Coturnix japonica: one gene and its partners. The protein of the gene in region 2 purifies or fractionates together with the protein of the main gene of each other region. This does not show direct contact. Links are inferred from orthologs where the notes say so. Each region holds a gene or a part of one and is shown on either strand. Other genes may lie near its edges.

Evidence for each region.
Region 1: the proteins of WDR82 (region 2) and SETD1B purify together in Homo sapiens (affinity purification with western blotting; 4 studies listed by BioGRID, with this or other methods). This does not show direct contact. The link is inferred for Coturnix japonica from reciprocal best matches to the Homo sapiens genes WDR82 and SETD1B.
Region 3: the proteins of WDR82 (region 2) and PPP1CC purify together in Homo sapiens (affinity purification with mass spectrometry; 5 studies listed by BioGRID and IntAct, with this or other methods). This does not show direct contact. The link is inferred for Coturnix japonica from reciprocal best matches to the Homo sapiens genes WDR82 and PPP1CC.
Region 4: the proteins of WDR82 (region 2) and PPP1CB purify together in Homo sapiens (affinity purification with mass spectrometry; 5 studies listed by BioGRID and IntAct, with this or other methods). This does not show direct contact. The link is inferred for Coturnix japonica from reciprocal best matches to the Homo sapiens genes WDR82 and PPP1CB.

The regions. Positions count from the first base shown.
Region 1 is NC_029530.1:4,866,014-4,873,316, reverse strand, and holds part of SETD1B (histone-lysine N-methyltransferase SETD1B), read right to left. Parts: intron 2,531-7,303; coding exon 1,751-2,530; intron 1-1,750. UniProt on the Homo sapiens protein: Histone methyltransferase that catalyzes methyl group transfer from S-adenosyl-L-methionine to the epsilon-amino group of 'Lys-4' of histone H3 (H3K4) via a non-processive mechanism.
Region 2 is NC_029527.1:1,816,440-1,824,344, forward strand, and holds the start of WDR82 (WD repeat-containing protein 82), read right to left. Parts: upstream 5,115-7,905; 5' UTR 4,815-5,114; coding exon 4,654-4,814; intron 782-4,653; coding exon 684-781; intron 1-683. UniProt on the Homo sapiens protein: Regulatory component of the SET1/COMPASS complex implicated in the tethering of this complex to transcriptional start sites of active genes.
Region 3 is NC_029530.1:5,181,583-5,188,885, reverse strand, and holds part of PPP1CC (serine/threonine-protein phosphatase PP1-gamma catalytic subunit), read left to right. Parts: intron 1-3,500; coding exon 3,501-3,632; intron 3,633-4,828; coding exon 4,829-5,059; intron 5,060-5,914; coding exon 5,915-6,019; intron 6,020-6,897; coding exon 6,898-7,121; intron 7,122-7,303. UniProt on the Homo sapiens protein: Protein phosphatase that associates with over 200 regulatory proteins to form highly specific holoenzymes which dephosphorylate hundreds of biological targets.
Region 4 is NC_029518.1:24,311,150-24,318,452, reverse strand, and holds part of PPP1CB (serine/threonine-protein phosphatase PP1-beta catalytic subunit), read left to right. Parts: intron 1-3,276; coding exon 3,277-3,408; intron 3,409-5,907; coding exon 5,908-6,138; intron 6,139-6,486; coding exon 6,487-6,591; intron 6,592-7,303. UniProt on the Homo sapiens protein: Protein phosphatase that associates with over 200 regulatory proteins to form highly specific holoenzymes which dephosphorylate hundreds of biological targets.

The DNA of each region.
Region 1 (7,303 bases), on a different chromosome or scaffold from region 2:
ATGAGACCTTCCCGTCCTTCAAGAAGCCTTCTCCCCTTTGTATTTCAAGAAGCTATTTGCTCTGCACAGGGCACTAAAACTGCTGAAGACAAACCTGTGGGGACTCTCAGAGGAGTTGTTTGGCATGGACACTAAGAGATCCTGCATTTAAATCCATCAAGCAAAGCAAAGCAGAAAGACATAACAACATGCTTGTCCTGAGCGAAGGACACCAGAGGAAATGTTCACTCGCATCAGTAAGTGGGTGCAACATCCACTAAAAGTCATGTTCACTTACAGAGCTAATTTGCTAGAGTGTAATCACTGAAAAGGAAGTGTAAGCTCAACTCTCTTGCTAATAAAGGACAGTACTAATGGGAATATTGAACACAGAACTCAGACACCCACTTCACACCTATAGCAATATGTTTCTGGCAATCAGCAGCAGACAAGTTGATACAGTAGCCAGAAAACGGAGATACAAAAGCTGAGGCATTAGTGTGATATGTATGGTGCTTTTCCATGAAGAGCTGAATCACATAATTGCTCAGGCTGGAAAAGACCTTAAAGAGTTAAAACAGTGCCTGGAGGAATTGGTCTGTTCTAGGAAAATCAGTGATGGCAATATGTGGAGCCCCAGCCCACAGGTGTCACCAAGGAGCCCTTAGACAGCAACACACCAGCAATAGGAAGGTGCCGCTTTGCTGAATATTCCTAGTTTATTCTCCTTTAGAGCAAACAGACAGCTTGTGGCTGGGCCTAGAAGAAACGAGGCTCAGACCTGGGTGGTTTCACCATGTGCAACTTGACATAAAGCCTGGCAGAAGCTTCTCTGGACAGTGCCCTAAAGCAGCAATGGCTCCTGGACAAAAAGCACATCAGTTTTCCCGTACGTTCCACTAGACTGCTCACCTTCAGCACAACCCGCACTGTACCAAGTTGCTGTGGCACAGCCAGCTTCCCTTACCAACATGGGCTGCAAATTCCAGGTGAGAGACTAAACCTAACCCCAGCATGGTACATACAGGAGCCCAAGCACCCCTGCAGACCTGAATCAACTTGCTTCTGCTTCTTCACTTCAAAGCCTGGTTTAAAACAGTTTCTTGGGTACTTCAGCTTCTGCTTTTGGGATCCATTCCTCTCACTCTCCTGGAAGCTCAGGAACCAACTCCAACACTGTTAGCACGTACTAACTGGTGGAGGCAGCTCTGTGCATTAGCCAAGAGCAGAGGACCAGGCTCCTCGCTGCCCATTAGGCAGCTCTAAGCAGATCACACTGTCAGGAAGCAGCAATACTGATCACTCTGTAAGCCAAAGAGCAATCTCAGACACGAGAGCTAGCATGCAACCAGCTTACAGAGCCTGTGGTGAGGGCACTGCTCTGGAAACTGGTATCTGAAACAGAAAGGGCAGCTGTGGCTTGTGGTGTTGCTTTATTTATTTATTTCTATATATTTTAAACAACTAATTGTAATAGTCACTGTGAAGATTGCATCAATCTTAGCAAATCATAGCATTAGCTTTTTTGGGTAGAGTTCATTTCACTGTGTATTAAATCACAGAGTTGTTTGCTGGCTGAGGAATGCTTGAAATTGGCCGAGAAAGGATCAGACAATTCATGCGAAGCTGTCCCCTTAACTAATCCTCATGTATTTGGCCAACGTTCAGCTTTTGCATTAATTACTGCCATATACAAGCACTGGGGAGGAGGGAGAGTTTGCTCATTGTCCCCTTCTAATTGTGCCCAAGCACACAAGACACAGAAGCCTACCTTTGCCAGCCGTTCCTTCTTGTCCCACCAGTCATCAAATGCCCGAAATGCTACCACTTCAACCATCTTCCGGTTCAGGTCCCTTTTCATGATAGCCTTCAGTTCCTTCACGATGACCAGGAGGACTCCATCCACAGTGGCTTTGTGGGGATCTTCCTTCTTGGGCTCATAGCCCGGTGGTGGAACTGAGGGGTCAAACTTGGGCAGTGGTGGCCACTGCTGCCCACGACCAAGAGCTGCTCCCATAGAGAACGGGCGGTAGGGCGGCAGATTCACAAACTGCATCCTGCCCCCCATGAAAGGCGGATATTGGTATGTGTTCTGTGCCTGCATCATGCGGCTCAGCATCTGAGTTTGCATCTGGAAGGACATGGGCATGCCACCCCAGTGGTTGCCCAAGACACTTATCATATCCACCTGCATAACTGGGAACATGCTGGGATGGAAGGGAGGAAGCGGAGGCAAGATGTGAGGTGGAGGGACCCCAGGGGGTGCGGGGAGCGGTGGTGGTGGCACGGTAACAGCAGGGTGTGTGGGAGGAGGTGGAGGAGGCAGCGGCGGAGGCATCGGGAAAGCTGGTTGTGGAGGAGGTGGTGGAGGAGGAGGAAGAGGAGGGAATCCAGGCGGTGGCGGCAAGGGAGGGATCGATGGGGCCATGACGCCTGCGTTGCTGACTGAGGAGTTGACCACAATGGTTTTGGCACATTCTGCACTGGTGATGGGTGCAGAGTTCATCTCATCATCAGAGATTTCCATGTCCTCCCCTGAAGAATGCTGACTCTGAAACAAAATAGAGAAAAGGTGAAGAGCACATTCCTTTTGTGATAAATACCACAGCTCTGGCTGCTTCTAATAAACCCAAGTTTGACACAGGTTTTAATTGGGATCTGAGCAAAGCCAACAGCACTCTGAAAAAGATGAGGTCCACTGAGCAGCTGGCTCCTGTTGAAGCTTTTCTCTCCTGTGTCAGACCTTAGGAAGCAGGGGTAGAAGCTTTCTCAAAGACCACCAGCTCTGGGCAGCCTGGTCTAACAACTGGTAACCCTGTCCATGGCAGGAGGGTTGAAACCAGATGACCTTTGAGTTCTTTTTCAATCTAGGCCATTCTGTGATTCAACCAACCCAAAACCTCAGCTTCTGTGCAAGACTAAGACTTGTTCCCATACTTAGCAAAATAGACACAACCCAAACTCCTTTCACTGCACAATGTATTATTTCCTATTTGCATCTAATACTGACCGGTGCCTTATGCCACAGGTTTCATTCTTTAGTTTTTACCACATACACAGTTTCTATGTTTTTGAATTATTATCTCTGTCTCACTGGCTGTCAACTCTTATCCTCTAATTGTGGAAAGACAGTAGCAGACAAGGCTGCTGCTATTAGAAGTTGTCTCTACTGGGCCAAAGCAATTCACATTGAAAAACAAAACCTGAATTTGCTTAAATTACCTTTAAATTTCACAGTCATAAATACTGTGATTCAAAGACACAGCAAATGTCATGTTTCTAAGCAAAATGAGTACTGGCCACTGGATGTCAAAAACAAGAGAGGGTCCCAAGTTACCTTCTCCAAAACTATTTACACCATTCTTCCTTCTTTCTCAGATAAAAATGGCAAAACTAGCACTAGGGTGACAGCAAACACCACCATATGTTTTTAGGACCGAAAGGCAGAAGCTCTCATTGTGACTTTCTCGCTCAAGCTCCCAACAAGCACAACTGGCCTGCCTCCTTTGAACAACTTATCAAGCACTTCCTTCCTCATGACAGTTTGCACAAAGGAACTAAACAGTTTGTGCCTCCTCTTCTAAACAGAAACTATCAATCCCATGTCCCGCCCCTGCAGCCAGCCAAGGAAATGAGACCGACCGCAAGTCACTGGCCTACTTAAGTATTTCTGCATCTCAGTTCTGGCAAGAGCTTTTGGAATTTGTTGGCTGTTTTCAGCCAGTCTTGACTGGAGAACCCCAAGATGTTTATTTCTTCCACGCTGTGGGCCAGCAGTTACCTGCTGTCTACTCTCCTGACCTGAAAGAAAGGAAGAATGGAGCTCCTGCTTTGTCAGACACTGAAGGAACTGCACAGGGGAACTCTGTTGGCAGTTCTCTTCCCAAAGCTGCTGTGATTTCAATTTTTACCTAGGAATTTTGCTCAGGAGTAAGAGAACAAAAGCAAAAGCAGCTGAGTTGATGACTCTGCTGTGAGCTGTACCAAGCTGAGCAACCACAACCACCCCATCCAAACCAAATGCTTCACATTTTTATCAAAGGTCATTCCTGCTACAGCAGCTACCACCAGAGAGCAGGCTGAGCACAGTGCTTGCCACAGCAGCTTTGCAAATCCTCCTGTCCTAGCACCTCCCCTCGCCCAGGCTTCCTCACATTCTGTGCTGCTGCAGCACGAGCCCACCAGTGCACACACAGCACGGATCACCCCAAAAAAACTGCAATCCTAGCTTTCTGAAGATGCTTAATCTCTGGGCTCTATAAGGAGACCACCGTTCATCCCTGCAGAGTGGTTCACAGCATGAATGAGTGCTGAGTTCTGCACCCTGAATCCCTTTCCCCAGCTGCTCAGCTCCACAATCTCATACCACACTGTGGATACCAAGGAATGAAAGGACATTCTGCAGTTGCAGCTAACACAGCTCCAGTGAGAGGGACAAAGGAAGAGCAACCAAGATGATCATGGCAGGTGTAAACAAGTCTCCTGTGAAACAGAGCCCATTTTTCACCAAACAAACACATAAAGCACTGTTAAAAGCACAAGCTCCAATTGCAGAAACTGGATCATACTAAAAGACAGTACTGGATGAGAAGCCAGAAGCATCCAGCCTACCACAGAGAGACAAAACCAACTTCAAGTTTACATTCATCTCATCCATGGGGAATATGGAGGAAAGTCACCCTGTGAAGTCCCTGTGGAGCCCCAGAGCCAGACAGCACCATGGAGACGTGTTCCCAGCCACAGCCCCTTAGGGATCCCTAGTCTTCCTATAGGGTCTGTCCCCTCATGCACAACCTGACCAGCTGATACTGAAACCACAGCTGGCAGGCCTGAGCTGCACATCAGCCTCCTTCATTCTCCTTCATTCATATATGTCTCATACATGCACTTAAGCTGAGCTGAGAACTGCTAAAGCAACACAACTAGCATTCCTGGAAGACGCTTTTAAGTTCTTGTACTTATGTACGTCTGCAGGAAGCAACAACAGATTCCCTGCTTCCTGCAGTGTGGGGCTGACAACTCACCTACACAGTGAACAACCAGTGCTCCAGTTTTATCCCAGGCAAAATGGAAAGGGAAACATTTAACAGCAGGGAGAAAAACACCAAAAGGGCAGGGGGGAAAAAAGAAGAATACACAAGGTTAGCAAAGAGGTCAAACCAAAAGAAGATCTTCTATGGGGAAGTCTTTGAAGAAAGTTAAGAAAAATTAATATTTTAAGCAGATGAACAGTTACAGGAAAGTTGTATCTAAGGGGAAAAAACATGGGCACCAACTGAGAAAGATATGGGCACAGAAAGAAGTCAATGCGAGACACAGAAAGACCTCTTGTGGCATGAATTTCTTTTCATTCACTCATCTGAACTTGAATTTGCTGTGGCTGCTACCAAATATCTCTTAAAGTAAGGCTGAAAAGCAGCTTTGCCTTCTGGTTTCCTCTTTGCTTTCACAGGGGGAAAAAGAGCTGCTAACTGGCATACATACTGCTGCGAGGACATCATTTCTATCACCGTCAAAAAAACTGTGTCAATCAGTCCCAGAGTTCACCTGCACATTTCTGAGGGCACAATACCTCCAGAAACCCTCCCTTCAGCCCATTGAGAGGAAAGCCATTTCCTTCTCAATTAATTTGTGCTGCCATCTTCACTTTGCATTAATTAAATTAAGAGTTAGCCAAACAGGTATTTAATTATATGCACGACACATTTTTCCAAAGGTGTTTTAATGATGTAAATTTGTTGGGAGAGACTCACGTCAGCGTAACCACTTATAAAGGGCCTCATTCATTGTCCAACACGCTAACTGCCACCTTTAGTCCTGGCACAGTGAGGTTTAGCTCAGGTAGAGCCTCCCTGAGTTCAGCAAAATAAATATCCTAAGATCTTCCTTCTGACCAATCTGAATAGTGACAGGGTAGAGAGCTACTGAATGCAGGGTATCGGTCTTAGAGCTAATACCCAGCATTTAGCAAGCAAATATTCATACCTGCAGCAAAAAGAAACTACTTCCTAATATTTGCATGCAGAACTGGCAGCTCCAGGTGTGCAGAGGCTGTTCTCTCCCCGGCCCAGAGGAGCACTGACACTGCGGCAGCGAGCTTCAGCGTGAATGCCGTTCGGTCCCTTTCCTACGGGCAGAGGAACTGTGCATACTTTCATTTCCTTTTAAAAAGAATTCAGAATGCATTTTGAATATTGTCAGCTCACAGTTAATTTCATTTCAACACTTCAATTGGTACCGAGTTACCTTTATTTGAGGTAAGTAACATCTACCACTGAACAAAGCTGCTCTGATACAGCCTGGCCGAGCTCTGGTGCATCAGAATAATGAAATGCAAGATCAATGGCATCAGCATGATGCAAGGTCATTAGCTTTAACGAAGTGAAGCATCCAATGCTTGCAAGATGAAGCAAACCTGTAAGCCTGCAGCAGGCTCCACTCACAGAAACCAAATGGGAAAATCACTCTTTAAAGCCTAAAACTTCATAACTTGCATGATCGAATACTGGCAATCTTTCCTACTTGAAATGTTAAGCACCAGCTTGTCAGTACAGCTAGAAGTAAAATCAGAAGTGTTTCCTACAGAAAAAAGTTTTCATAACCCTACTGACTGTCAAACAGTCCTCACTTGGTTTTGGACCAACTTTGTGCAGGGATCTAAAAACACTCACATATGAGCAAGCCTCACCCTTACCCTAACAAAAAGTGGGGAAAGAAAAACCCTCTGGAAGGGATGGAGAGATAGGGAAGTGACACCTGTCTGAACAGGGTCATTCAGCGAGTGCTGAGAGAGCTGAGAATAGCCTCTGGGTCCATCCTGTGCTGAGCCCGCAGTGTGCTCCTTGTCAGGCAAGGGAGCAGCTGCAGCCAACATGCTGCGATCCCTGGGTGAGAGCAGCACTGCTGTGTAACAGCTCAGTCCTCTGCCTCCTGCAGAAAACATTAGAGAGAACAAGATGCTTCAGACCTGTCGCTTGCATATCTTACAAAAAGGATGTATAAGGATGTAAAGCTGTCACACCTGCAGCTCCTCTTTCAGGGGCAAGATTCAATGAAATGTTCCTTTTTAGAAGAAATGTATATATACAAACTCAGTCCAGAGAATCCCACCATTCACCTTGCTAACACCTCGTGAAGTCCAAAACTCACCCAGCAGAGCACAGTGAGGGATTCAGGGAGCACTGCTTTGCTCTCTGCTCACCTGCTTTTCATCAGAGAAGGGCTCAAAGGTTCCACATGTTCCTGGCACACCCTGAGGAGCACGGTGTAGCCCTCAGGGCTGCTGCCATGTCAGCATGCCCATGCTGAGCACTCACACCTCTGG
Region 2 (7,905 bases):
CTATATCCTAAACTGGACTTCTAAATTAAATTCAAATCCTTTCATTGATTGTTGTGAAGGTCTAGAAAGCCCTTCAGTGTTATTGATTTGAAGAATGTGGCTATTGCAGATAGTGACTGTGGGAGAAACAGCATGGAAACCAATTCTCTACATATGCCTACTGCACAGAAAAAAAGCAGTGGGGCTAATGAACAGAAACAAAGCTTATCTCAGAAGAGCTCTGCAACCTCATCCAGGTGTGGCTGGTGGTTTGCCAAGTCACCTAAGCTCTGTGTCATCTCTGCTGCAGAACATTCCCTTCCTTTGCCAGTGTATCAGGCATTTAGCCCACTTTCTGCTGCATTCTCCTTCTTCCTCATTTCACAAGAAGAACACAAGGCACAGAGGGTAACTGATTACAGTGGTATCAAACAACAAAATGAACTGTGAGCTTTTATTCTTCTTGAACTCCCCAGGGTCAAGAAGTGAAAGTTCATCTCACTCACAGCACCTACACACCTCACAACAGCACGCTTGAGAGAACTTCACTAAGCTGTGCGTTAGAGCTGAACATCAAATCCCCCGTGGCAGCACACTCACCACCTAAAAGCTGCTGCAAATTTTTGCCAGCCCTGCTGTTTACCCAGGCACATCACTTCAAATGCATGTGGATCAAAAACGCTGAACTACAGCAGATCACTTACCATCTATCTTGTTGGAGCTGTACACAACTGTGTTGGCTGCGTGTGTGTATCTGATGAGGTCCACTCCATACTTCTTACTGTACAGCGTTCTCTTTGGTCTGTTAGAAGGAAGCAGAAATAATTGCCCTCAATGCCACAAAGCTCTAAGTGAAACTGAGCCCATTAGCAGTGCCTCTTTTAATTACCATATTATGAGATCGTTTCAAGGAGTCAGATGTTTTTATGCAATGAAAGAAAAGCGTTTGTATTTCATTTTCAAACAAGTACCTCAGTACTATCTCCTAGACCATCCCTATGCTTGAGTTCCCTGCAATGCCAACAAAATTCACTTATTAGTCTCTTTCCAACATTCATTTTCCCTACAGTGTCTATGTGAAGAGCTGGGGTAGCTAGAATAAGAAGCCTTTAATGCCAAGCAGCACTGCCTCATCAGTACCTTGCCAAAATCCATTTCTAATCCATTTGCCACATGTTTTAGATTCTATCTTTTTGTCCTATGCTATCTCAAAACCTCAGAGATCTCATTCAGATTGTCTTCCTGGTATTAAGACAAATACATAACAGTGCTATAAGGAAGCAATGGTAACACAGGGACTCTCAAACTGCTGGAGAACTATACTCAGATCCTATATTAATTAAAGCATGAAACTCAAGTGTAACATTATGTGACAATATCAGAGACATTCTAGAGAGCAAAGACACACAGAACTGGTTGTTAAGGGTCTGGTAAGCGAGCAGTATTCTGCAGTAGTTAAATTGCAAAGGAACTGTAGAAGCAGCGGTGTATCTTTCTGCAGTAGCAGAAGCGAAAAGAGGCACGAGGTCTCTCCTTCCTCTTTCTTCTTCAGCTGAAGCAGCACAGTGGTTTCTGAGCAGGGCAATGGACCCAAATGGGTACTGATATCAACATAAGAAATTATGCAGTCTCTTTAGGGAGTTACTTCTATTCCAGTCCCACAAAATACCTTATTATTACAAATGGAAGGCAACAGCACACAAACAGAAACGAAACAACAGGAGCAGTTTAAACCAATTCTGCTGCCAAAGAGCAGTTCACCAGACTACACCCTCAGACAAGGTATGTCTAAAACACTCAATTGCTTCCTTGTGTTGTTCAGCTCCAAAGCGACACACCCAAACAAGAGCAGGAGCTGGAGATGTTTCCTATCAGAACAAAAGCAGACATTGATCTTAAAGATCAACTCTTGAACAGCAGAAGCCACATGACTTTACTTCAAGTGAGCCTGCAGGAGAGAAGCTTCCATTAACTGAAAGTCAATACAGCACAAATAATTCAAAGCCCACCCCCACTTCTACCACTTGCACCAAATCCCAACAGATTCTTCCTCAGTTCCTTCCAGTCGATTTTTACATTGCTTCCAAGATTTTCACTGATGCAAAGGAGCTACAAACTGAAAATGGAACACATATAACACACTTCCAAGTACAGAATTTAAGTCTAGATAACTAAACTCTGTAACCTATTATTTGTAGCCACCTCAGTTATGATGTTGAGTACCTACAAAACAGCTTGGGTGCGAAGGGATCTTCCATACTGTAGTAAAGAATACCTACACATACCAATGCATGCTCAGAAAGTCAATAATACCATGACTACATGTAGATATGTAGTAAGAAAGGTGAATATATAAGCCGATACAAGCAACAGCTGGTCCCTTCATGCACTAGATTGGCAATCTAGCCAGCCCACCTGCAAATCAAAGCAAAGCACAAAGCAAAAGTCTAATCTGCTATAAAGAAACAGAACAGGCAAGGCTGGTACTACAACAATTCCTGCTGGTAAAACCATCACCCAGAACCAGTCACCAAACATCTGGTGAACACCATGGCTAAGCAAGAATCCAGCTCCATCACCTCTTGATTTGTATAAATAAAACACAATTGCTACACACTAAGATACAAACGGAACCCCTGCTAAGCCATCTTTGCATCACACCAGGGCTGCAGATGCACAGCCACGAGCCTCCAGCTGAAGTCCCACAGACTGCCAAACTGCCCCGATACCTACAGCCTGATGTTCACTTCCATGGCAGTGGTTACACAGTTCCTACATTGGTGTGGCTTATTTGAAGCAGCAAAGCGAACTAGGTGAGTGCATGCCTAGAGTATAACTAAACACAGATCCTGAAACATGGGCTACCTTGGTGAAAGCAGCCTGCCCCATAGAGCTGCAGCAGAAAGCCATCAATTTTCTACACTTACCGTAGGTTAAAGCAAACCTCACTGTAAAGCACACATCAGTATCAGCCAGAAATGGTGATGGAAGGGCCAAATGTCTCCCAACCCATCAAACGATTCTCTACAGGATTGAAAGGGTAAGAGCAATCAATAAAGTCTGCATGAACATCACTCATCCCTTCTGCTGCTGCGCATAACCACAATCAAGAATGCAATCCAGAGCAGACACCAGCCACGTAATGTTACCTGCTCTTATAAAAATGAACACAAATTCACTTCAAGCAGAAGTCTGCGGTATCAGAGTGGGAAGAGTAACAAGTCTCACTTGAAATATAAGCTAACTAAACAGAAGCCTAACATATGATAAGTAGTCTACAAAATGAAGAGTATATGCAGGATGCAGTCTTCCAAATACACTGAGAATGATACCTTAGTCTGCCTGAAAAAGCAACAGGGCTACACAGACACACTGGACAGCAGAACAATTTCTCTTTCTCTCCCCTCATTATTATCCTGTCATTTTAATTCTCCATCCTACAGCAGATACACGGGTTTTCCTTTCACTTTCTGTACGTACGTGATGCTTAAAAACATTCCAAATATATACTGCAGAATCACAGAATCACCAAAGATGGGAAGACCTATAAGATCATCCAGTCCAACCATCCACCCATCACCAATAGTTCTCTCTAAATCGTGTCCTTCAATGTTTCTTGAACACCTCCAGGGTTGGTGACTTCACCACCTCCCTGGGCAGCTCATTCCACGGCCTGACCACTCCAGCCTTAACCTCCCCTGCAGCAACTTGAGTCCTTTTCCTCTAATCCCATCACCAGTTACACAAAAGAGGCCAACCCCCAGCTCACTACGACCTCCCTTCATGTAGTTATAGAGTGATAAGGTCTCCCCTGAGCCTCCTCTTCTGCAGATTGAACAATCCCAGCTCCCTCAACTGCTCCTCATAAGACTTGTGCTCCAGACCCCTCACCAGCCAAGCTGTCCTTCTCTGAACACGCTCCAGGACCTCCGTGGTCCCAAAACTAAACCCAGTACTCGAGGTACAGCCTTATCAGTGCTGACTACAGAGGGACGATTTGTTCCCTATTTCTGCTAGCAACACTATTTCTGATACAAGCCACAATGCCTTTGGCCTTCTTGGCCATATGGACACACTGCTAGCTCATAAAGACAAGCAAACCACATATATTTCAAGCCAGATTTACAGATTAAAATAGGAACACAGTATCATTGCAGTTGGAAAAGCCCTCTGAGAGCATCACCATGCACCCACTCCCATCTGACCTCATCCCTCAGTACCACATCCCCATAGTTCTGGAACATCTCCATGGAGAGTGACCCCCAACAGCTCCCCATGCAGCTGTGCCAGTGCCCGTCAACTCTTTTAAAGAACATTTTCCCAGTCCCATACTGGAGAAAAACACAGAACACAACTAAACCCCACTCGGGAATGGGGTTTTATCAGCATACCCCCAAGCTATTTTAAGTTACGGCAAGTAGACAACGCGCTATGTTCGCATTTTATTTATGGAATGGTCGAATCCTGCTGCTTAGCAGCGCTGCTCACAGCAATTACTTGTGTTTTAGTGAGGGGAAAAAGCCAGTTTGTATGCTCGGAACTAGCAGGATGCGATCCTTAAGCTGTGTGTGTCTCGCTATAAAGATATCTCCCCTCGGGCAACCAATGGGACCAAACAACGCTCAACACCCCCCAGCCCCTCACTGCTCCCACCCCCAGGCCTCACACACTCACTTGCCCTCCTGGCAGTCGTACAACACGATGGAATCGTCGTCGCTGCTGGAGATAACGGTCTCGCCGTTGGGGCTGAAGTCGAAGCAGTTGATCTTGTCCGAGTTCTCGCGGAACACTTTGGCCACGCGGAAGCTCCGCAGGACGTTGTCCGTCAGCTTCATACCGACGGGACGGGCCGCTCTCACAGGCGGCCGCGCTCAAAGCGGGGCGGGCGGGGCCGCCGAGAGGGCCGGGAAAATCAAAGCAGGCCCAAAGGAGAAAAAAGGGGGCGAGATAAAATAAAGCGGGGCCTGGCGGCTCAGTGAGGCTCAACAGAGGACGGGAAAAGGCGACAGGCTGCGTGTGGGCACGGTAAAGCGGGGAGCGGCGGGGCTGGGCCCGCTCAGGCCGCGGCGCGGCGGCTCCTCCTCATTGTGTCCGCCATCTTGGGCCGCCGCTATGAGAGGGGAGGGGCAGCGCGCGGGGCATGATGGGGCGGTGAGCGCCCAAAGCACCATGGGAGTGGGGACGGAGAGGGGAGGGGCGGCCGCCATTTTGAAGGAGGCAGTGGGAGGGATTTGTGGTGGATATTGGGCTCGGTTCTGTCCATTCCTGTGTGGGGTTGTTGGCGTTATGACCTCAGCTCTTAAAGAATGTGAAGTGAAGCTCGTAGCGGGTGGGGAAAAGCAGTGTTAAGTCAATGAGGAAAAGGGTTGTGAGGCGGCCTTCTGTGGGGCTGCAGTGCATCCCTCAGGTTGGTGCTGGAAGGGTTGCCTCAGGTTTATCGCTGCTGCCCTTGTTGCTGCTGTAGGTCCACCTCATTGGTTCATTGACAGAATTCCTGCTTTTAAATGCTGTTTTTAGTCATATTGCTACACTTACAGTGCTTTTAATTGCATAAAGCAGCCTTCAAGCAGTATTGCACCGACACAAGGGCTATGGCACTGTGCTCTTACAGCACTGACAGCACTTAAAGAACATCCAAGAAAGACACCTTGGCTCTTCAGGTAGGTGCTGTGGTGCAGACGCCCCTGGGCTGTCATTTTACCCATCATAAATACTGCTACCAAGATCTATGTTTGTGTTTCCCTACATCTCAAACCTTGAAGTGAAAATCCCCCACCAATTTGATGGTTTCCAGCCCCCTGCTGTGTTAATTTGAGAAGAAAAATGGAAATCTTTTGTTGTCTCGGCCTTCAATAAACTTAAAAGCAACGAAGAAAGCATCAATAAAAAGTAAAAGCCAAAGTTGCTTGTGTGGATGTTAATTGAGTTTTCCGCTTCAGAAAGTTTGCTTCAGAATAATATTGCCCTCTTGCGGTCATGCTGCGATAAGCCTGGGAACTTGGCAGCGGTCTGTACGTCGTCTAAACGTGTCATTATTTTACCTGTGCGTGGCTTTTAGTCAGTTAAACAAAAGCCTTTTTTGAGATGTTTATTTTACTGCTTGTTTTCTACTGCTCGTCCTTGCAGGCTTTGGCACCTATCCTGATTCACCTCTACCTGCTGCGATGTCGGAATGATTCACCAAGTTTTGTTCTGAGGTGGATGCAGGACTTTAAAGCCTCAGGAGTCTCCACAGAATGCACTTTCATTGCTTCGGAGTGTCTCAGGTTCAGCTGCTCCATTACAGGTCAGTTCAAAACCTACCATCGATTTTCACATCATGAAAGGCTTTAGAGAAGTTCAGAACAGCATGCTTCTTGCACAGTGTAAATGGCATCAAAGCCTGGATTATCTCATCTGGGCCCAGAAGATGACTCACTGATCCCATCATAAGGCAATTTCCTTCAGAACACCTACAGTACTTAGCCAGGTTTTAGAGCTGTATAACACCGTGGGCTGTTGATTTGATAATGTAGATGGTACCCCTGCAAAACTAGTTAATAGGAAAAAAAAGGTTTAATTGCTGCTTGAGTAATATTGATCAAATGCAGTCATTCTACATATGCGTTTCTATATTAGGCACCACTGTAACTTGCGCAATACAAACAGGCCTGTGCTTGCATTAGCTTGGATGGGTGGATGTGAACTTCCAAGAAATGTTTCTGGAAAGAACACTACTTAGGTGAATACATTTTCCCCGGACTCTGCTGGGAGGGATGATTCAGTGGGTGACAGCTGTGTCTGAAGACTTGTGTAGAGCACCTGAATCCTACAACTTAGCATTGCTCTGTGGACTTCTGAAGCTAAATGTGATGCTCTGGAATCCCTGCTTTTGTAGTATGTGACCTCAGAAGTGTTGGTGGGAGGGGACCTCTGGAGTTATCTCCTATCATGGAGCCCATAGCATCTCTCCCTCCCTGATCCAGTGCTGTGCTATTCTCCCTATAAAGATCTTTTTGCTCATGTCTGATATGAACATCTCAAGTTGCAAACTGTGGCCATTTTATACTTCCTGCCACTACCAGCATCTCATATCTGTTGTCTTCACAACCTCCCTTCAATTAATTGTAGCTATGATCAGGTTGATCATAAGTTGGTTGTACCAGTTGGTTTTCAGCCTTCCCTGGTGCATGTAGATCTTGTCCCTGCAGCAAAACCTCACGCTTATTGCAGTTTATTGCAGTGACTCTGGAAGGTAACTTTACTACTCAGTGCATTCCCCCAGGTTAGTGTTAGTGGGATACAGAATTAATTAATATTACTAAATAATCAGTGTCCCCAGGTGACTAAGGAAGCTGTGGGGTGAAATAAACCCCAACTGAAACCCAGGACTTCCTTGTTCATTACCAGCTGTCATCTGGACACAGAGCCACTGATGTCTGTGCTCGGAGCCCAGTGGTCGAGGTGTTTTGCAGCCAGCATAACAGTACATTTACTCAGCCAGAACTTCTTCAGCTTGCTAATGAGAGCGATGTCACTGAAGTCAAGGTAGATCACGTCTGCTGCTTTCTGCTTTCCCCATTGCCTATCATCTCAGCCTAGAGGGCAGGCATAATTGTCATCCTGTGACTGATTAATATTCCTTGCTTTTTGTCTTCGTGTTATTTTCAACTAAGGAGCTCATATTTTTTTTGCTCTTCATTCCAAAGAGCATGCCCTTGTATTCTGCAGGACTGAATTTCAAGTCCTTTCTATTATTTGAGTCCTCAAGGCTGGCAACTTTTCATCTTCTCTAGAATACTATGATCCTTCCCCATATTCTAAATGACTCTTCACTTTGATTGTGAGTTGACTCAGAACAGGGAGTTTGAGAAATTACAACATGAAAGGAAGTAGACTTGGCATGGACTTGGCTTCAGGGTAGTACTGTTCTGCATTTAGCTACAG
Region 3 (7,303 bases), on a different chromosome or scaffold from region 2:
ACAGGTGTATTGCTCTCCTTTAAGACTGTCCTGCATTGTACATAGCTGTAGAAGCTGGAGTATTTTCTAGCTCAGTCACTGTGGCTTGGGAGAAAGCATCCGGGTCTCAGGGATCTTTTCTGTAGTTTTTTCCAGCCAGGGGAGAACTTGTTTTATTGAAGCTCCTTCCACTCATACATTGGAGATGATTTTGCTTGTTAGAAAACTGCCCAGGCTGGACATTGAAATTCAAGCTCTCAAAATGAATTTCAAAAGCAAGAATGTCTCTGCCTATGGAAGAAGGAAAGGTATTTATTTCTGTCTGGAGATAGTGCAGCAGCGTGTTGAGACAAGGTATAAATAAAATATTATTGGAAATGGCCTGGCTTTTTCCCGCAGCTGATTAATCTTTAGCTTGTTTCGCTCTCTGTTCCAGGCTGTCATTTCGGAGAGGTTATTTTTTATGCACTGAGAGAACAAATGTGTGAGTACAGCACTGTCAGCTGCTCTTTTGACTTTGACCAAGCTGCCAATTAGCAGTGTACGGTCTGATCTCTACAAGCTGCCTGGTTTGGGTCCAAATCAGAGAAAAAGAAACTTTGGATACCACATTTTTCATAGGATATTATTTGCATCCTTCTTACTGGGGCTAAATCATGTAAGGTTCAGTCACAGAAGCCTCTTAAGAATTCAGGAGTGAATATCCTGCGTTTTCTTACCAGCTCTTTCATCACGGTGGAGAAAATCCTTGCACTAAAAATATAGATTTCTCAAACCAATGTGCATCTTTGATTGTTCTAAAGCCCGAAATATGTTGTGCAACTGTTTATAAGTAGGTCACTGTTAGAAGGAATTGAACAAGCTCATTTCTCATGTGCTGATCCTACATTGGGTGAGTGGTCAGACAGCACAGTACAGAACTGAGACAAATCTGCCTGGTTTTCTTCTGTCCTTTTGACATCCGTGTTTGTATAAGCTGTAACAAAGCATCTCCTGATCACACTGAGGTTTCCTACAGCCAAAGGACTAAAACTGCCTGGAGATTATACTGGTCCAATGGAAATAGATCAGAAACCTTGGAAACTTGAATCCGAAACAGTCGGTTTTTAGATTTCCATTTAATCTTCAACAAAAACGAATGCCTATGCTTTATTCATGAGCTGTAGTGACTCAGTGTTGCTTACATTGTGTGCTTTTTTTACATACTTAATTTATGTGTGTGAGATGCAGGTTTTGATTCTGTGTGTTTTTTAGCAATTTCTAGCAAGACCAAACCATGGGAAAATTGAATTTTTGCCTGCATGTAGCTCATCTCTAAAACCAAAGATGAGTTGGACTGTAGAAGAAGAATGGGAGAATCAGCATTTACAGTTTAACCAACAGATCACTTTGTTCTGTACCTGTCTGTCCATTATTTGGCATTTTTAGTGCCTTGTTCATTGCTTGGGAGCGTTAGGAAAATTATTGTACGGGTGGAAAAATGACTGCGCGGATGGGAAGCATCGTGTGTGATGAAGTGCTGCGACTGAGGTTTAACTTCCATTTGTATGCTTCATTACTTGTAATATTTTAATGGAATACTTGAAGTTTAGTGGTAATTTCAGTGTCACCGTGTGAGTCGGTGCCAGTGGTGAGCAGTAATACATAGACAGCGGGTAATAGAAGAGCATGTATTGCTTGAAAGATAGCGCTATTAAAGCAGTGACTTTTGACCTGCACTTAACTGAATGCTGCTATCGCTACGTGTTGTAATTTGGACTGAAGCTCGATTCTGAAGCTTGTTTGAGGAAAACATTGTGTGCTTTCCAGTGTTATCAGTGATTCTGCAGTGCAGGCAGTGTGAGCATGACCAGGGGCACTGACAGGAGCTGGTGTGCAGGGCAGAGCTGTTCTGGTGCTGACACCAAGTGCTAGCAGAGACTGGGCCCAGAGATGGTTGCTTTTATGAATGGATATAACGATATCTTTGTATATCTGGGTAGCAGAAAATGGTGTCTGCAACTGAGGGGTGGATCAGATAAATGAGGGGAAAACTCTTCTGTTAGCTGCAGGAACTTGTTCAGTCCAAGCTGGTGTCCTTGTTCTGTGTCTGAGCATTGACAGGTGATAAAGGGAACCAAACACTGTGAGGTGTTGCACTGGAGGAGTGAAAAGAGCGAAGGACTGAAAAAACAGCTGAGCTGGGAGCTGAATTTCCAGGTTGCCTTTCACTGTGTTCAAAGGGACTGGTAATAGGTGAGGCAGGGGAGAGAGCACAGAAAATGCAGTGCTTGCTTTAGTACAGGTGAGTTTGTCTGGGCTCCAAGTGAGTAATGAAATAGCTCAGCTTAAATGGCCAACGAACTAGAATCTGAAATACATGAGCTGTTTCCCTCTTGATTAAATCCTTTGTAGGTTTGAGGCACTCAATTTCTCTCCATGGTAGAGACTCTTCAAAGCATTAATGATGCTAATAGCTCCCTCTTAGCTTTGCTGTAGAATTCAGCAGTTTGGTGGCTTTGATTTTAATGCATTTAAGAAATTATTCTGGTCCTCGGCCCTTTTTTAGCTCTGCACATTTTCTCATGTCGTTCCTCCTCTTTGGCACAACCAAGAAGTGGGAAAGCCTGAGGATGGGATTTACAGGAACCTTCTGAAATAAATGTATTCACAGTCCCAATCCATATGGAGTGGAAATTCTGTGTGAAGGGTTCCCAGCTCTCCTTCCAGTTGTCAGGTTTTCAATGCATTCAGCTGTTCCTGTGGCTCTGGTGCTCCTGAGGGACTGGAGCCTCCAGGGGAGGGTGAAATAAGAGTGGTAAAAAGGTAAAATATATCTTGAAATATTGAAATAAGCTGTTTAATACTTCTAATTTCTGCAGTATGCTCTGTAACATTGAGGCAGGTTTCAGGAACACAATTATGTTTGTCTCACTGGTCCATTTAAATTGCAAAACAGTCATTAAGGGTGTGCCAGGTCATTAGGTTTTGACAAGTCTTGTTTTGTGGAGGCATTTTCTGAGGATGAAGTGCAGGTAATGTACTGCCTTCCTGTTAATTGTAACTGAAACCTGACTTATGAGTAGAGTAAAACTGTGTTTCATAAACCTTGTGCGACTTGAGTATTTTCTTCCTCTAAGGAAATGGATTTGGTTTTGTTTTTTATGAATTCTGGGGCTCCAGCTGTTTACTTTTCAGCTTTATCTGTGCCTGACTGCTTTAATCTGTCAGTAGTTAGCTTAACTTCTGGCTAGTGGTTATGGGATGGCAAGCATGTTCATATGTCTGACATTCCCATATGCATTTACACTGGATTACTTAAAACTTATTTTAAGAGTTCAGAGTAGTTTGAATAAGGCAGCAAACAGCTGAGTTTAGCAGCAAAGTGTAAATACAGATTATTTTAAGATATTATTGAATTATTTAATTGTAAAAGAACAGTTGTTGCATTCCCATTTGATGTTAATGGCATTTAGGCACTGTTAAAGTAACGCTGGGAACACTCTTGGCTTGGGTAACCGACTTCTGATTCCTTCCAACAGTGAGAGGATCAAAACCAGGTAAAAATGTCCAGCTTCAGGAGAATGAAATCAGAGGACTGTGCTTGAAATCCAGAGAGATTTTTCTCAGTCAGCCTATTCTGCTAGAACTTGAAGCTCCACTGAAAATATGTGGTAAGTGCTGTGATCTGATGCGTGGTTGGGAGTGGGGGGCATTTAGATGGATATCCTCTTTTAAGCAGGGGATGAATGCCAGATGCTGCTTCTGCTTACAAAACTGATGAATGATTGCAGTAAAAGGGAAAATAAGCCTGTCCTGAATGCTTTGAGTGGAGGAATGGGAAGGAGGTAAATGGGAATTGTAGGGGGAAGCAGGAAATCCCAAACCAGAAAGTGGTCCTGTTTGATCAAGTCTCCTGGGAAAGGGATTCAGAAGAAGCTTTGGAAAGGAACCTTTGTATCAGTTATTGCTCAGTGCTGTCGTCACTGAACATGGAGGAAAACAAGACACAGTAGCTGATGGGAGCTGCCATCCAGATCTCAGCCCTGATTTGACACAGTTTTAGAATCTGGAAGCTTAAATTTCTGTATCACCTGTGGTTTCTGGTTTGGTTTTACCATATTTATGTATGGTGATGTTCTCACTTTTTAGACATGCACATGTGTAGTTATGCTAAAGGGATGAAGGATGTCAAAATAAATCTTTAATAAATGCACGTTAGTAGAGGTTCCAGGAAGCAGTGTTTTATCCTGCTCCAACACTGCGGATTTACTTCTGAAGTAGCTTGTTCAATATTTATGGTATGTGGTAGCCTTAAAACCAGATTTATTGTTCTGCTGTCTGAAACAAAACCATGATTTAAACCAAAGGCAGGAATACCAATTTCTTCTGATACGACTTCCCTGCTGGAATTTGAGTTACTGGCTGTTGCAGGAAAATACCAGACGTGGTATAGAGGAAAGGAAATTCCCCAGGCAGTTTTTCCATCAGTGTCACTACTGAAGTGTGGCTGTATCAAGAATGAAGTCAGGGTTTCTAATCTTGCAGCCTGTAGTCAAGAAAAGGATTTAACTGGGTGCCAGATTTGTTTGAGTATGTAGAGTTGATTTCTTGGGATGTTGGACTTGTTTTATGAGTCTATGAGTATATTAAAGCAGATACGTACTGGAGTCATAATGTGTTCTTAGTCATTGTCTTACGTAGATATCAACTTTGAGTGTGATAGCATGAAGACAAACTATGTAATCTTCAGGAATGCTGCAGGCAGTATCTGTCTGCAGGTTTTTCCTGTTGGTGCTGTTTCTCTAGGGAAAATAATTGTAAAATATGACAAAGTCAGTTACGTGCCATTTCTGACTGCTTTTTACAGGTGACATCCATGGACAATACTATGACTTGCTTCGGCTCTTTGAATATGGAGGCTTTCCACCAGAGAGCAACTACCTATTCCTTGGTGACTATGTTGACAGAGGAAAGCAGTCTTTAGAAACAATTTGTCTTCTATTGGCCTACAAAATTAAATACCCGGAGAACTTTTTCCTCCTCAGAGGGAACCATGAATGTGCCAGCATTAATAGAATTTATGGATTTTATGATGAATGTAAGTAATATGGTCAGATGGGAGGACCTTTGGCTTGGGAAAGCAGGGTAGGAGGTGCTTACTGTCTTCTAGACCTCCAGTATTAAATCACTTCCTGAACTTGCAGTTAGTTCTGCACACTTCAGATGGCCCTGTGGTCTGTATTAGCAAAAGGAAGTCTTTGCATTGATCTTATTATCGTCTGGTCCTCACAGTACAGAACAGCAAGCAAAGAGGTAATTTTATTTATTGGCCACTGAAGTAAAGCAACTGTTCCCACTGGTATGAATTTGTAAAGTTCTTCAGGTTGTCTGGTCAGAGATTAGGGGATTTTACTTTGCTTTATGGTTTCAGTCACTTTCATGTACCTTTTGAGGTATACTGTGATTGGGGTAAAGGGCTGTTCTGTGTTATTATGGTTACAGCACTTGCAATCTAGTTCCCAATAAATTCTGTAAGTTAATAGATGTGTACATTTGTATGTTACAAAAGGATGTGACCTAATCTCACATAGAGGAGATAAAGCTGTTACGGTGGTTGGGTACTGAGGCTTTCTCACAGCTTCTGCTGGGGACATGCTTGGCTTGTCGGTCACAAAATGTTCTCTGTGTCTCGTTCTCCTTTTTCAACAAGGAAGTGGAGTTGGGTGGTATTTGAGTTGACTCCTCAGAGATTAATCACAGGTTTAGTCACATGGTGCAGATACATTCAGGGTTTGTATCTGATGTGAGAGAGTATTAGAGAAGATAAATATTTGCTTGTAGGTTTTATTGATGACTTTTTTGCAAGTCTTAGTTACAGGCAGCCATAGTAGGTAGCTTGTAGTTGTGTTAGAGAAGTAGATTGAATGGTCTTTTTCCCCCCAATCTTTTCTAGGTAAGAGAAGATACAACATCAAGCTGTGGAAAACCTTCACCGATTGTTTTAACTGTTTACCAATTGCAGCAATTGTGGATGAGAAGATATTCTGCTGTCACGGAGGTAAGTTAAGTTCTTTAGTTGATATTTCATGAAGATGTAATACCCCATAATACTGAAATATTGGCAATTCCATATTCATGACATGTGCTCCTCTCTTGCTGGAAAACATTTTAGGGGCTTTTTGTGTCTTGGAGCTCATTATTGAGGCTTTGAAACTTCAGGGGTTTGTCTCTGCATCACTTTGTGTTGAGAGCTTGATTAGTGGTACTGTCATAAATAGCTGAGCTGGTAGTTCTGCCTTCTGTATTCTTTGTCAGGGGACATATCTGGTATTGTCTCCTTTATTCCAAGAGTCCCCATTGGTTTTCTGACTTGCATGACCAGAAGTTGTATAAACACTCTGAGAACAGTGTTTTAGTGCTCTGTTTACAGACTGGCCCTGTTGTGCTATGTGATAGTTGTTAACTACTTGGAAAAGCTGCGCAAAGCATTTAAGCTGCAGTGTGTGTATTATCACCTGCAAGTAAAACAGTTTCTCGGGAGGAATAGCAGTAAAAAGTGGTTTAAGATCTGATTCTGTATTCCATGTTATTCAGCCTGATCTTTAAAATAAACAAGCCTTGTGATTTCTAGTATTTAATGCCTCTTAGGAGCTCTTTTAACAGACACTTGCAGATTATTGAAGTGGAATTGTTATAATCCTTTACATGTGGAAATGGCTTTGCTTACCTTGCTCCCAGTATATCTTATAGTGTCCCCTGTCAGAAAAGCTTTAAAAATATGCTGGATTGAAATGTTGTTTCACGTTGCCATTGGGCCGCACCAGATGTTGATGGGAATCAGGCTGTGTAAGCTTCACTCATCTTTGAGCTGATTCCTCAGTTTTACAGTGTAAAGGTGGAGTAAAATGCAAGCTGTGTTATCTTATCTGCACACAGGTTTGTCACCAGACCTTCAGTCAATGGAACAGATCAGACGAATTATGCGTCCCACTGATGTACCTGACCAAGGTCTTCTTTGTGATCTCCTGTGGTCTGACCCTGACAAAGATGTCTTAGGATGGGGTGAAAATGACAGAGGAGTGTCCTTTACTTTTGGAGCTGAAGTGGTTGCTAAGTTTCTCCATAAACATGATTTGGATCTCATATGTAGAGCTCATCAGGTATTTTAACTTTGTGCATTAAACCATGGGATAATTGAAATGGAAAGGGACCTGAGGTGGTCATCTCCATGCACGTGTACTCAGTGTGGAGCAAAACAGACATGCAAGATCTCATCCAGCTGGCTTTATATATAAGCAAGGATGGAGATTCCAGCATCTTGGAGCAGCTTGTCTGCTGTTTA
Region 4 (7,303 bases), on a different chromosome or scaffold from region 2:
TGCTCATAACTTCCTTTTAAATCAGTTCTTGAGGAGTTCTCTTTTGAAAAACTAAATATGGTGAGAGATGCTCTTACTTACATTCCATACAGTGCCTGGCTGAGTCAAGGAAACGTAAACAGAATTCTAGTTGTAGTGTAAGTGGGTGAAATATGTCCTTAGTTTTGCTTGTCTGTTTGTGCCAGGCGAGCGGCCCAGCTCTTCCAGATGCTTTGCTGGGTAACCTTGCAGCACCTTTGAGTCCGAGTCCAGTGATGTGCGGAGGCTTCTGAGGTCACAGTAGCTTCTTGTTTTTTGCTATTTCATTGTCTTACTGACTATGTGGATTACAGGAGAAAACTTGCCTCTCTTTAATGTATTATTGATGATGATTTCTCCTGAATGCCCAGGCTCTGCTTCTTCAAATGTAAGTGAGCTTGTTTGTTCTGCAGAGCTGCCAATGATTCAGGTGGCCAGGCCTTTGTAAAGGCCCAGTGGCTCAGGGCTGTTTCCTTCCCCTGAGTAGCTTCTAACTGCAGCTTCTAACTGCATTCACCAGGCGTTTTGTCTCCCAGTGACATGCCCAGCATAGTTTGAGAAGCTGGGTTTATTTGGAGAACCAGTGTCTAACGAGTTGCCAATCTGTTGGCTTCCTTGTTAAGGAGCTGCAGCATGTAAGTCTGTATTGTAAAAGGTCAGGAACTCGCACTGTGGCTCTGGATGTGCTGTGGCAGTTGGCTGATTTGGAAGTCGCAAGCTGTGTGTTCAGTATGTGTTCTAGCTCAGAAATCCAGCAGCACTTAATGGCTTAATCCTGCAAAGCAATTGTTCCATGTTTAAACCTCTCTTTCTCAAAGGGAGCCAGTGCTGCTGTTCTAGGAAATATTGATTGGATCAAAGTTAGTGGTGTGAGTGCCCTCCTTGAACTACAGCCTCGGGTTTGGTCTCTGTGCTTTGTCTGGGGCTATTTGAGGAAACATCACTGTCATCTATAGTGGGATTTCCTGGGTTTGAGTTCTAAACTAGACTGGGTGCAATATGTGTGCAATTAAGTCACTTCTTGGTTTTAATCCTTATTACATGATTTCATTTTGGCGCTGCAAAACATTGGCAGCAGTTAAATACAGAAGAAAACTTAATTCTTACCAGAAGGGTTTTAAGGAAAGCAGATAGTGGAGCAGAATGTGGCAGACGAGCTAGTTAGGCTGAAGAAGCACTCAGTAGGACCTTGATGTTATAGGCATCAGACAACCATGGGTTTAAAATGAAGCATAACTATCTCAGAAAGAGTAATGGGAACTGTTAAGGCTGTGCTGTGCTCTTCTCAGGTGGGAACTTTCTTAGGTGTAGTGACAGTTTGTTGTGTCTAGCACAGCGAGTTTCAGGTCTGCAAAAGGGATGAGTATGAGCTACTGGAGTGCAAGCACTTGAAAAGCATGGAGGTGTTTAGAGGATTTTGGTACCTGCAGATTGAGTCGTCAAGTCTTGTGCAAATCTGTCAAGGTTTATTTCTTGCCAATAACCCCTTTGGGGTTGAAGATGCATCGAAGAGCATCATGTTGTAGACATTTGAGATGCACTGCGACTGAGGCCTGTGTGCATTTATTCTCCGATCACTTTGTGTCTTAAAAAATACAAGGGCAGACAATGAACTTGTCATTCTTCCCGCATTAAGATGTTAGATTACAAGGAGGTTAGTAAAAGCTGTCTGCTTTCTCTAATGTAGTTAGAGGAAAGCGTGTGACTTACCGTATGGTAAATGTCACATGGAGTTGGAGTCACGTCACATTTCAAGTTTCTCTGAAGTCTCCTTATGGTGCTTCTGCAAGCCTCGTTCTTATGGGATTCTAGTGAGCAGTGTATCATCACTGAAGATAAGCTGACCTTCTTTCTATTGTTGCATTCCCGCTGGCTGCCCCAAGATGTAGTTTCACATCTTCTCTTCCCTACTTGAAGTACTAATTATTATTTTTTTGCCTCTTCATCTCTTGTGTGGCTGCTTAACCTTAGTTAAACAAGTGATCTGGTTTCTTTTATTTTAATTAAAAACAAGCAGCAGTGTTGAACTGATCAGATGCATTCTGGGGGAAGTACACAATGATAGGCAGGGCAGAGCGTTCTGATCTTAACTCTTTGGACTTCAGTACTATGTGTCTTAGGATGGGTTGTTTCCCCTTATATCCTTTCTCCCCCACGTAGATGGCAGTGATCTACTCTGCAAAGTATGTTGGCTGAGAGCTGAGCTGCAATAAAAAGATGTATTCATTTTGCTCTTCTGTTAGCAAGTTTTATAAGACTTACTGAAACTGCAGCAAATATTTTTTGAGTCAAGTCTTACTGTGTTAAAGTTTGAAAACATGATTTGGTCTGCTAAAGGTTCATACCACTTTTTTTATAGCTGCTACTGTGGTTTAAAGCTGAGTGTTGCTCCATGCGAAGCAGGGGGGCAGAACATGATGGTAGCCTGGTATAGACACTGCTGTGTTCTGCTCTATTAGTTGCATCTGATTGTTAGTTTATACTGACATGTAGAACTGAATCACATCAGCCAGAATGTAGACATTTGTTCTGCCGCATGTACACATTAGAGCCTGAGAGAGGAATCAGGTAGGTATTCATGGAAAGAAGCAGCAGCAGATAGGCTTGGCAGAGGATGTTAGTCAGAGTGCGGTGGGGATGTTTTTGGAAACTTCAGGACTAAGTATGGATTGGAATACTTGGCTTGTGGATATAGGAATTCAATGTCAAGCTAATTGAATGTCTGTTTGGTTGCTGAGGTTCCCATAACTCGAGATCCATTATGTATGAATGAAGATTTTAATCAGCACAGACACAGTTTAATGTGATGTTCCTGATAGGACAGTTTCAGCTGCAAAAAGTACAAACGTTCCTTTTTATTATGCTTGCCTTGTTGAACTTAGTTGGCCTAGATCATTTTGCGTCAATGTATTTGAGATTTCCATTCTCAAGGCTTTTTTTGCCTGCTGCAAATACTCTAGCATAATCTGATAATTCATTTAAACACTTTTTGAAGTTGCTATTATCCAAATACAGACAAAAGCAAGATCTAAATTGCTGCTTTCTGGGACTGTGACTTAACCGGGATGCATTCGGAGCTTAAGCGCAGGTTGCCAGTATATCAGAGTTTAACTTTAGAACTGGCTGGAATATGCAGTTCCCACATTTAGTAGATAAGTTGGTGTGTCAGATACAGACTTCAAACACAGCTCATCTGCACTTAACTGTTGTTAGGTGTCTGTGTGCCAGCTATCTTAATTGTTAAACTTCTCATTACAGTACGAGGATGTCGTCCTGGGAAGATTGTTCAGATGACAGAAGCAGAAGTTCGGGGCTTGTGCATAAAATCACGAGAAATATTTCTTAGCCAGCCTATTCTCCTGGAACTAGAGGCACCGCTGAAAATTTGTGGTATGTAAACTTAATGTGTGTGTCTGTTATGTAGGTGTGTTGATTTAGTTGTATGCTAACTGGAATGAGAAGGAAAGTTGATGAAGGAGATGCTGAGATACACAGATGACCTTGATTTGAGCAATACAGATTAGTGATTGAGGTCTTCTCAACCTTAAACATCATTTTCAACTTAGATTGGAGTCAATCTAAGTTAGTCAAGAGAAAGGAACTAATGTTTGCTCTTGGTGCTATTTAGGAGCAAGTGCTGATGGCAGTAAGAGCTGCATGCACTTCTCTTCTAGTGCAAATTTTGCAGCCTGTCTGTTGTCCTAAGGGCTTCCTCCACAGAGCTGCTACTGTTTGGATCATTATCTCAAAGCATTCTAAAAACACCTAAGTAGTAAATGGTTGCTGTTGTTGTTCCTTTCATAGCAGAAACTGAAGAAAGATCTTCATATAAGATGAGATGGAGTACTTACTAGTCCACTTACTAGTGGAGCAATTGTAGTCATTGCCATTCACTTAGAATATTAGCAGTTATTAGTGTTATGTTTGTTCTTAAATGGCAAAGTCACTTTTAAGTGAGTAATGGCTTGCTTGAGTATGGAGGAGTGGAGGAACAGGACCAGCTTGCCTGACAGCATAAATTTGAAGGTAAAAATCTAGCTTTACTTCATTTTATTTTTTCTGTGATGAGAAAAAGAATAGTGTCATCTAATTCCTAGACAGAATAAAATTGAAAGACTTGCATACACTCTTAAGTTCAATCTGCAAAGTATAATGAGACTCCTTCAAACAAAGTTAGTTTCTCACTTGTTTAAATCTAAAGAGCTCAGAAGGCTCTTAGATATACAGTAGTCGAGATAGCAAATGCACAGTTATGTAAGAGATTTGTTATTTTTAAGTTACATGTTTAACAAAGCGGTAGCACCTGGAAGTGACATGTAGATCTAAATTAAACATTAGAGAAATTGTCAAAGTTGTATTTGTTTAGAAGTGGAAGAGAGGTGATGGCTTTCACTGAGAGCACAATATGCTGCTGTACTGCTTTGAACTACTGGTTTAATGTGTTCAGGTGGTGCTTGAGAAATTGTTATAGAACTGTCTTGTAATCAGTTCAAAATAAGCTTTTAAGTCTTGAATGGCTGTTCTAACATAAGATGGAAGATTTTCTTATGTAAACGTCCATTTTAAAATAGCTGTAGTTCTTTCTCTGATAGGCTTCAACTTGTGCCTGTATGAAGTTGTATTTTAAATTATCAGGTGCCTGCAAAGGAATAATTTGAAATGCTTTGGTCACTTCACAATAGTTTCTACAGAATGGTCTTTCATTCTTCTATGTCCATTAATCCCTTTAGCTTGTGTGTGTAACTTAAAGTAGTTTCAGACAATGAACATTAAATATTTCCATGGTATATTTATTTTGGTGATGAGTACTTCTGATGGTGATGAAGTTTGAGTACTAATTCAATAGTTCTGGAGTACTGGATTCAACACCATGGTGACATGTTGATGAAACTTGCATGTTTTTCTGTCTTAACCTGGAGATTTCTAAATACCAAGTGGAGTAGAAACTCTTCTTGTAGTGTACGCACAAATGATTTTAGCTGGTAGAACTTCAGAGGGCCTGCAGTTGGGTAGTGAATAATGTTCATTATTAAATGGAAAGTGGTGTGCAAGTCCCCTCCTTGAGCAAGAAATAGTTGAAAGCATTGTCTGCTGAAAGAAAATAGTGTTGATTTTTCTCATGGAAAGATAAAGAGGAATAAGGCATGAAGTCACTGCTGGAGTATGTGACTCCACACAAGATGTGCAAGTCTTTTTGTTTGGTTTAAGGTTCTGAAACAAGTTGTAGGCATGTGGGTGGGGACATTTTGTTTGTCAGTTTTGCTCTTTATAGCCAAGGAAGCTAGTTCTCTACTGGAGAATTACTAGGCTTAATAAAGACAGGTATTTTGCCACAGAACAAACAGCACAGTTGAAAATGTATTCATGACATGCTTAGTGTAAGGGATCAAGAAGTAGTCTGTATTATCAGCATACAGCTTTTACTAAGGGTTTCTTAGGCATAGTTTTGCATTTAGTCACTTTGTTAATGAATTCTGCAGTCAACTGAAGTATATCACAGCTACTGTACAAGTTACGGTAGAGCTTTGGTATCACTTTTGACCTTATGGGCAGCTCAAGGGTAATTACTTCAGCCTAGTCTGATGTGATGTGCTGTGGTGGTTTAGTTGCTGCACAGAGCTATTGTGTGGATGTGGATGGAAGCCATCTTAGTTTTAAAACTGGCAGTGTGATGAGTAACATGATCATTACTGCTCCTAAGACTTCTGCAGTTTTGAGTAGCATGTCAGGGCTATCAGTCTTTCAGTCTCTGTACTGTTTACAATAAATGCATCCAGGGAGTTGTCCTAAATGCCAGAGAATGGGAAGCTTAGTACAGTGATTTAAGCTCTTGATATGTTTACTCCTTACATTGTTGCACTCATCCGTGGTAATCCTTTTTTTATTCAGGTGATATTCATGGTCAGTATACAGATTTGCTTCGACTATTTGAATACGGAGGATTCCCACCAGAAGCAAATTATCTTTTCCTTGGAGATTATGTAGACAGAGGCAAACAGTCTCTGGAAACCATTTGCCTACTTCTGGCATATAAAATAAAGTACCCAGAAAACTTCTTTCTCTTAAGAGGAAATCATGAGTGTGCTAGCATCAACCGGATCTATGGATTCTATGATGAATGTAAGTTAAACCTATTTCTTCTGAAAGGCTGATGTGTATTAATACTGTGTTTTGGAAGTACTTCTGGTAAATGACTCACGATTCATGTGCTATAAGAATTTCAGTGTTCTGTGAACCTGCTTTGAAACCTTCTCAAAGAGCCTATCAAAAGAAGGTTAAACTTAGAATTATTTTCTATTCTGTTGTTTCTGAAATGGTATTGTAGGAGTCTCTGAGTGTACTCAGGTTTCAGAAATAAAGCTGTGTGAAGACAGTCAGTTTACATCCCCAATCAAGTTGTAATACATGTTGTAGGTTGGCTTTAAGAAAATAGTCATCTTTTCCTAATCTCTCACACTGCTCTTGTAGGTAAGCGGAGGTTTAACATTAAGCTCTGGAAGACCTTCACAGACTGCTTTAACTGTTTGCCAATTGCAGCCATTGTGGATGAGAAGATCTTCTGCTGTCATGGAGGTAAATGGATGACTACTTTTAAAGGATGTGTCTAAGCTGTTCTTTGGATTATTGTTGTATTGAATTGCGAGGATGTGCATGTTCAGCTCACAATGTATATTGTCTGCAAAGGTTGTTGTTGTCTTGCTTTTTTCAGTACATCTGGCTGCTAAGAAATATTTTGCTTCCCAGTCATAAATGACCACTTGTGTCAGAGGGGCAAGTGCATCTAATTATTCCTGTCAATACATGAGAATTCATGCCTAATTTTTTGCTTCATGTCTTGTTGGCAAAGCTATGTACTGATGCATAGCAGATACTGGAATCTCTAGCTGTGAAATGAAAGAAAAAGCTTCACAAGTAACCCCAGCTCTGTGGTCTTGGCTTCTTTATCTGGTTTTGTAAGATGTTGGTGGAAGAGACCCCTGGCACATAGTCACAATCAAGCCTGATGCTTGAGTTGAGGCATTTGACATTGGATCAGTCATGGCTCCATCTGACTCCAAAGGATCCTGACTGTTGGAAAACATACATTCTGGGTACTGGTCCCTGTGCTGCACAATTTTTGTAGTGGAAGAAAAGGATTTGATTTGCAAGAAGGCTGTGACTTCTTCCTGTACTGGGACTTAGTCACTCTTCTTTGTCAAAAGAAACACCTCAGTGTTTTTATAGGAGGTGATACTTGGAGGATTCTGGGACCTTGTAGAGTACTATTGCAACAATTTAAACAATT